2 linked regions of the Caenorhabditis elegans genome follow. The protein of the gene in region 1 purifies or fractionates together with the protein of each later gene. This does not show direct contact. Each region holds a gene or a part of one and is shown in the gene's direction. Other genes may lie near its edges.

Region 1 (4,016 bases):
CTGAACGTTTTGTCTTCAGTAAAATTAAACTTTGTGGGTTTAGCTTTTGAGAGGATTTATGTTTCGTAACAAAAAGAACGAGATTCTTTCGATTTTCGGAGAATGTTCTGGAAGTTTTTTATGTCTGCTTTTGATTCATTTTGTGCAATTTTCTAGTTGAAGGTTGATTAGTGGTGAAGTCAGGCTTATTTTTTTTATTTTACAGGATCTCACTGCCAGGCAGCCACCGATTCAACCACAAGTTCCAAACGCATCCGATAACCTGCAAGTTCCACCAAATTTGGAATACTTGATAGCAGTGGTAATACTGATTCTAAAAATATAACAACTTTTCCAAATTTTATTTTTCAGAATCCCAGTCAACTGATCACCACTATTCAAATTGGAGCAGAAGTAGCACGACTAGAAGAATTGGAAGATGAATATCGGCAGGAGCTGGAACTAATTAGAATGACAGAATCACTTGGAGAGGAACTCTTACAAAAAGAAAACGAACTCAGAAGTCGAGCTGGATATCTTGGAAGGCTAGATGTTCTTGAAAATCGGAGAAACTACGAAGACGAGGCTGCCGAAAATTTGGCTATCCGAACTGTGCAAAACCGAGTGCTTCTACTGAGAAGGGCGCGGGCCGAACTGTATGAAAGGGAACGAATCGCCCGAAAAACCTTTATTTGGAGATTGAGAAGATTTAAAAATCCAACAGATCAAAGTGTTAATACTTGGATGGAAACTCTGAATGATCGGTTGAACCGTGTCGCAAATTCCTGGGAAAGACGACGGGAGCCGCATGAACAAGCGATTCGAGACTATGAGCGTTTAGTAGCTACTCGACAACGTACCGAAGAAGATCGTCGCAGGGAACGTGCATCAAATCGGGCCGGTCCTTCGAACCAAGAAGATTACGATTCTGAGGATGAAGATGAACATCATGTCGATGAATTACCAGATCTTCTTGAGCTTCTGAGTCTTGTGGTCAACCCTGTTATAGGTGGCGGAGGAATATCAACTAATCGTGCAGAATATTTAAATCCGCGTGGAACAGAAGGCTTGGGTGCTGATGATCCTGATTTGAACGATAGTGGAGGAACTGTGTATCAGAGTGACGAAGAGGAATCAGAGGATGAAGCAGAGATTGATCATCAGGAAGGTCCATCGAATTGGAGGCCCAAGCGACCACGTCGTGATGATGATGAAGGAGGATCGGGAAGCAGCGCAAGCATGTGGAATGCTCCATCCACATCTTCCCAGGCTCTTGGAAGAAGTTGCTAAAATAATGATGAACTCAAGTTGATACTAATTTATTTTAAATCTTTATTTTATAATCCAGTCTGTTTATTTTTTAATATCAATTTTCTTTGATGTATCTTATTTATTTTATTTCATTTCAGGTAAATATTGATTAAATATTGATTACGACCTTTATTTTCGATAGCAATTTTGACAAAAAACGATAAAAAATGATATGAAATTTTTTGATCTACAATGTACGCATGTTTTAATGTTTTTTGTAACGCGGGAGGGGGTTCCCCTCGAATATTCATAAGACCGTTGTTGTTTGACCTACAATTGTCCCGGAAAAATTACCGGTGTCCTTTTCCGAATATTCTTCCTTTCCCTCGCTATAATCGATTGTTTTGGTCAGTTATATTTTTTTTCTATTTTAATTTGACAATTTTCAGTTTTCCCTCTTTTAACTTCGTTTTAAGTTTTAAACAAAATTTGTAAATTTTCAGATTACATCTCAAATCGCTACTAACTGTAAGAGATGAATGTGTCTGGAGAGTCTGCAGCTGATATCGAAGAGGTAAGATTGAATTTTCCTGTTTCAAAAATTAAATTAAGCATTAACATGAATGTTTAGAAGACAAATGGTGAACCAACTCAAGGAAAAGAACAAGAACAAGATGAGCCAGCGGAAGAGCAAAGTGGACGGCAGTCAAATGCAGAAGATGGTTCAGAAGAGGTATGAACAATTTGAAAAAAAATCCAATAAATTCATAAGTCCTATGTTTAAAACATTTCAGCCAAACGTCGGAGGGTCAGAACATCTTCGAGAGCAATTAGTAGATCGTCCAGTGGCCACAGGAGGTCCGCAGCTAAATGTGGACGATTTACAAGACTTGGATGAGGTATAACTAAGCTGGAATTTCAGATAATTGTTAGTAAACCATTTAATTTTACAGACTTTGGATGTCAGACGACATGCAGCCCAACCAACATTGCCACAAGTAGCCAATGGTCAGCCGGAGCGTCAAAATGTGGAGCAACCTCGGGGAGGAGAGGTATAAATTATTGCAACATTAAAAACATAATAAAATCATATTTTCTTTTTCAGAACCCGTATGAACACCGATTATTAAACCAAGTTGAAATTGATGTATATACCCAAGGGCAACAAAGCATGATTGATTCTAACGAAGAACATCAGAGAGCTGAACAAAACAAGATCAATCAGGCGAACTTACTAATCGAAAAATGTGAGCAAAGCAATCAACTAATGCAACGCCAAACAGAAGAAGTACAAAGGGGAGACTATCCTGCTCCTCCTGGAAGTCAAGAGCGCAACGAAACACAGGGTCGTTTTAATCAGCGGCTTCTAGAAATTAGTCCACGCTCACGTAGACTAAGAGAAAACTTAGTAACCTCGTATAACACAGAAAACGAAGCTCGAACAGAGTTCAATCAAAATCTGAGAGACCAGGCCAATCCAACATTTGGAAATGTCGGTCGAATGTTACTCGCTTTAAACGAATCGAACAGGCAACGCAGTGATGAACGGACTCGCATATCACGAGATCTTCAACAAATTGAGCAAGAAGTAAGAGAAATTGCCGCGCCTCAAGCGGTTGCCAATCAACGATATCGTAGGGCAAATGCTCCTGATAATCTAAGACGAGATCAACCATCACCAGCAGAAGACCCGGAAGGTCTCGGTGCTTTAATGACCCCCGATGAAGGTGAAAATCTAGAAGAAAATAGTAGTGACAACTATGAGGACGAAGAGGATGATGAATATGCTGATGATCATCAAGAAGGGCCATCCAATCGAGGATACAAGCGGCCACGCCGTGACAGTGACGGAGACGATTCGGGAAGTTATGCTACAAAACGACCATATGACTATCTCTCTAAACTTTAAGTTAATATACTGCCATAATCGTGAAATATGTTAATTTATTAGTTTATTGATTATTTTAACTTTCAAAGTTATTCTGTATTTTCCCACTGTTTGCTTTTTGTCAATATTTCTCAAATTTAACCAAATATTTTTGAATAAATTCAACTTAAAATAAACCATAGATATTTTTTTAAAAATTAGAATTATCACTTTATAAAATTATCTTAAATTAATTAAAATAATTATCTCTAAATGGAGTAAGTTATGATATGACATTGATTCAACTTTATTGGTTGGATAATTCAAACAGATATTGAAAAGTTCAATTTATTTTGCTTTCATTCCACACAGCGCAAAAAATTTCGGGTAGTTTTCGATCATGGAGCAGCTGAAATTACTTCAATCAATATTTTTGTTCAATTATTGGAAAATGCAAGTTCCAGTTGCGTATTCTGAAATTGTATTATTAATAGCCACATACTCTACGTCATCAATTTTTCCATGGGAATCGGAAGATGTGTCTGGCAAAATGTACATCTGTAGACAATATTCGCCACCCAATCCATTTGGTTCACCGGTATTCCATTTGTAGCCGCTTTTGTAGTGAAGTGTATCATCTTGGAATTCATAATCCTAAAAAAGTTGAATAAGTTTAACAATTTACAATGCTCTAATTTCAGCCATAAAACTCTTCATATCCAACGCAGAAACTTGAAATTTTGAAAAATGAACACTCCTTTATAGGAAAAAACGCTCAGCGGACCAAATAACTTCCAAAACTCGCTAAACTGAGTATCTTCCTTCTGGCGTATCTCGAAAAATACAAGTCTGAAAAACAATTGCTCAACTAACAAAATGATCATAAATATTTTTTCTTTCTATTTCATTAATTTTTATT
Region 2 (3,947 bases), on another chromosome or scaffold:
GACGGGCGGTCTTTTGGGCCTGAAATTAAGCTTTTAAATGGGGAAAATTGGCTTAAAAGGGTACTTTAAGCTCCTTTTCCATCTCTTGAGCAATTTCCAACTCGAGAATTGACCACAACATTCGTTGATTGAATTTTGGCGTAGCGATTTCGGTTTCTGGAAAAAAAATTAGGTTTCTAGACTACAAACTACACTTTTTCCTGCAAAAGAAAGACAAAAACCTTTAAAAAGATCCTCAAAAATGGTGGCGGGCCTCAAATTTCCGATATTTGGAGCAAATCTCTTGGTTTTCGCAAGCTCCGGGCAGTAAAATCCAATTCGAACTCCATCGACAAGAATATCCGCGAAAATTGGGTCATCTCTGTGGGCTCCACCGGCTGTGAACTCGACTTTTTCGAATTTTCCGCTCAGAAGCCGCGCCACGTGGCACGCGAAATGTCCCCGCTTCGCCGCGTAGGTCAAATTGAGAAAATCGCGATTTCCGAGAGCTTTTGGCGGAATTTCAATGAAAATTTGTTGCCCTTTTTCAGTGATAACGATGCTTTTCGGCGGTGTCCACTGAAATTCCGGAATACTCGACGACGTGGCATCCACAGCCTTTTGAAGATGATGCAGAGGATGTTTAACGTCGAATTCTGTCCAGAAATCGAGATTTTTGTACTGAAAATTCAAATTTTGGCCTAAAATTTCACTAATTAAAGGGAAAACCTGAATTTTCGGGCCATTCTTCGAGGTTTCCAGCACATTTTTTATTTTTTGAGCGATTTGACGCTGCTTTTCGATGAGTTTTTTGTTGGATTTTGGAGCGGTGTCTTCGCACTGAAAAATATAACAATTTTTTTGCTTGAAAATCGATTTTTTTGGGATTTACCAATAATTTGAAGGCGTTCGACATTGGGAGCACATCTCCGTCTGTCTCCATCTCTGCAAATAGAATTTATTAGTATTTTGCTCCCAAAAATCAATTTTTCAAGCTAAAACCAATTTTGAAAACCAATTTATACACTAGAAATGACAAATATTCAGTTTTTCATTTAAATTTCACAAAATTACATTCAAAAACTAGAAAAAATCATTGAAAACTCGAGATTTAAGGCTAAAATCAACAAAAAATAAAATAGAGTGTCTCTGTCGATTTACGATAAACAACACGTTACTGCGGGATTTCGGAGTGTCGTTTGCCTGCTTTCGGCGGAGTTTCAAAAGCAGAAATTGAGTGGAAAACGGGGAAAACAAGGGAAATGACAGATTAGAACACAAAAAAAGGATTTAAAATGAAAAACTGCAGAGTTTTGGGACATTTTTCAGGGAAAAACACAGATTAAGACGTGTTTAACGTCTGTTTTCGAAATAAATTTTTGAAAATAAAGTCTAAAATGTTTTTTTAACTTTGAAACGATCATATTTCTAAATTTTTAGAGCTAAAAAACAATTTTTTATGAAAAAACATGTTAAAAATCAAATTTAAAAGTTCCTACAGTACCCCTTATTGCTCGTCAATTAAAAGGCCAAGTACGCAAAAGTACGCAACCTGCCTGCTGCCGCCAAACTTTGAATTTCAAATTATTTCCCTCCAAAAAATCAATTTTCCAGTTTTCTACGAATTTTCATCAAATATTCATGAAATTTCCAATGTTATTTTTTGTTTTCTTTTCATCACAAACTCTTTCGAATTCTCTGATGAATTTTAAATTCTGTAGTTTCTTCTTCTCTCCCTCTCGCCGATTCAGCTGGAATTTATTTCTAGAAAGAAAAGCGAAAAAAGATGCGAATTCACTGAATTTATAGGCTTGTTTTTGGACCGATACGCACACACACACACACAAAGCTATCCATCATTTTAATTAATTCTTTTCGTTTCGTTCTCCATTTTCTCTCAGTTTTCTCGTTTCCGTTCATTCAAATTTGTTTCAGCAAGCTCCCGCGACGCAAAAATGAAGTTCCTGACATCAATTCTCGGCTCTGAACGTGAGTTTTACCTTAAAAACCCCAAAAATCAGATTTTTCCATTTGGTCTGCTACACTACAAACTACAAGGTTCGATTTAGCAGACCAATAGGATTGTGAAGAGATTTGGTCTGCTAGACTACAAACTACACAATTCGATTTAGCAGACCATTATCGGGAAAATCCTATTAAAACATGCATTTTCGCAATTTTTATTTAATTTTTATACTTAATCTTAATTTTAAGTGCAAAATTGATAGTTTTAAATGATTTTTTCCATTTTTTTTTGCTAAAATTCGTATAAAAATCGGTCCTTTCTTTGAAATTTAGTCGATTTTCGCTCAAATTAAATGATTTTAGACTTTTAACTAAGTTAAAAACACCTTAAAATCACTAAAACTAACATTTTCCAAATAACCGGACTTTAATATCAATGAAAAACCGCCAGAAAACTCGAAATTCAGTGGGTCTGCCAGGCTACAAACTACAAAGAATATTTAGCAGACCAGAGCGTTTTTCATTGAAAAATAGGCAATTTTCGCTTAAAATAAAGCTTTTTTGACCTAAATTTCTTCAAAATTACCCTTTTTCAGGTGATCGTGCAGCCAAAAAGCGTCGAAGTCTCGAAGTGAACCTGCACCGCCTCGAAGAGAAGGCTTTCCTCTTGGAAATGGAGCTCGAAGAGACCAGAAGACAAAAAGTTGGCTATTTTCGAGCGTTTAAGCATGATTAATTCAATTTTTTCAGGAAAAAGTGATCAAAGAGCTCCGCAACGGGCTCCCAGTTCGCCACGTGTCAACAGTCAGCGTCTCGTCGACCGATATGTCCTTCAACACGGATTCCTCGAATGTATGCACCTTTTTAAATCGATTTTCGCATTAAAAACGTTATTTTTCAGGTCACCGATCATTATTGTGGACTTCCGATCGATTCGAGCACGCCGAAGGAGACCTCTAAGAGAGATTTTCAGCAAAAACACGAGCAATATGCCGAAGAAGAGGGGGAGCGTGCAAAATGGCAAAGCTCTGCGAAACTCGGCGAGAAATCGGAAAAATCAGAGAAATCTATCGAAAAGTACTAATTTGATCTACTAATTTTTATTCGCACTTTTAATTTTCTTGTCAAATTTGTGTAAAAAGCGATTTTCAGAGTAATGAAGGCTTACAGATGACTACAAACTACATTTTTCGTGGAGTTGCAATGCAGAAGATATGGGTCTGCTAGGCTACAAACTACAAAATGATGTTTAGCAGACCAATCCAATTTCTGATAAATTTTGGTCTGCTAGACTACAAACTACAAAAAAAACATTAGCAGACCAACGAATTTCTAAAAATTTGGGTCTGCTAGACTACAAACTACAAAAAATATTTAACAGTCCCAACCAGTTTCTAATAAAATTTGGTCTGCTAGACTACAAACTACAAAATGATATTTAGCAGACCACTGCTGCTTTTTTGGCATTTTTCCACATAAATTTGGCAAAATCATGATTTTTAATAGAAATAAAACATTGTGGGACTTTAAAAACGATTTTAATAAATTAAATAATATGATAATGCGCCTTTAAATACACTTTCCGCCGTCCTGGATCCACATTGAATAGGTGTCTCAAAAAGAAGACGCCTGAGCCGAACCAGTTCTCTTCCAGGGACCAATCCTGGCGAATTAGGGATTGAAAGCTTGTTTTGATGGTTTCTCTGAAAGTCGTAACTTTTTTTTTTCGGTGGAGAATAGTAAAACTAGCATAACTCTGAAACTAGAAGGTTTGGCAGACAATTGTCGACTGCAAATATGTACAGAATAATATTAGCTACAATTTGCCAGTTGACAAGTTTTGCTAAGCTCAACCCAGAAAATAGTTATGGCAACCGACGTCTCACGGGCCAAGAACGCCAAAAATGGCCCGCAAGGTGTCGGCCGTCGTAACTTTTTTCTGGGTTGAGCTAGAACAAAGTTGTCAACTTACAACTTGTAGCTAATATTAATCTGTAGTCTGT

Evidence for each region.
Region 2: the proteins of C50E3.12 (region 1) and Y51H7C.3 fractionate together in Caenorhabditis elegans (co-fractionation; one large-scale study listed by BioGRID). This does not show direct contact.

The regions. Positions count from the first base shown.
Region 1 is NC_003283.11:7,619,779-7,623,794, reverse strand, and holds C50E3.12 (uncharacterized protein), read left to right. Parts: upstream 1-1,733; 5' UTR 1,734-1,765; coding exon 1,766-1,804; intron 1,805-1,861; coding exon 1,862-1,963; intron 1,964-2,024; coding exon 2,025-2,129; intron 2,130-2,183; coding exon 2,184-2,282; intron 2,283-2,335; coding exon 2,336-3,139; 3' UTR 3,140-3,291; downstream 3,292-4,016. Other genes in the region: C50E3.13 (uncharacterized protein), read left to right, coding at 206-301, 352-1,269; C50E3.15 (C-type lectin domain-containing protein), read right to left, coding at 3,446-3,506, 3,600-3,751.
Region 2 is NC_003280.10:1,436,576-1,440,522, forward strand, and holds Y51H7C.3 (Lzipper-MIP1 domain-containing protein), read left to right. Parts: upstream 1-1,914; 5' UTR 1,915-1,934; coding exon 1,935-1,968; intron 1,969-2,540; coding exon 2,541-2,647; intron 2,648-2,694; coding exon 2,695-2,796; intron 2,797-2,845; coding exon 2,846-3,028; 3' UTR 3,029-3,122; downstream 3,123-3,947. Other genes in the region: nol-6 (Nucleolar protein 6), read right to left, coding at 1-19, 65-156, 222-660, 709-819, 872-922; Y51H7C.12 (Nucleotide-diphospho-sugar transferase domain-containing protein), read right to left, coding at 3,491-3,647.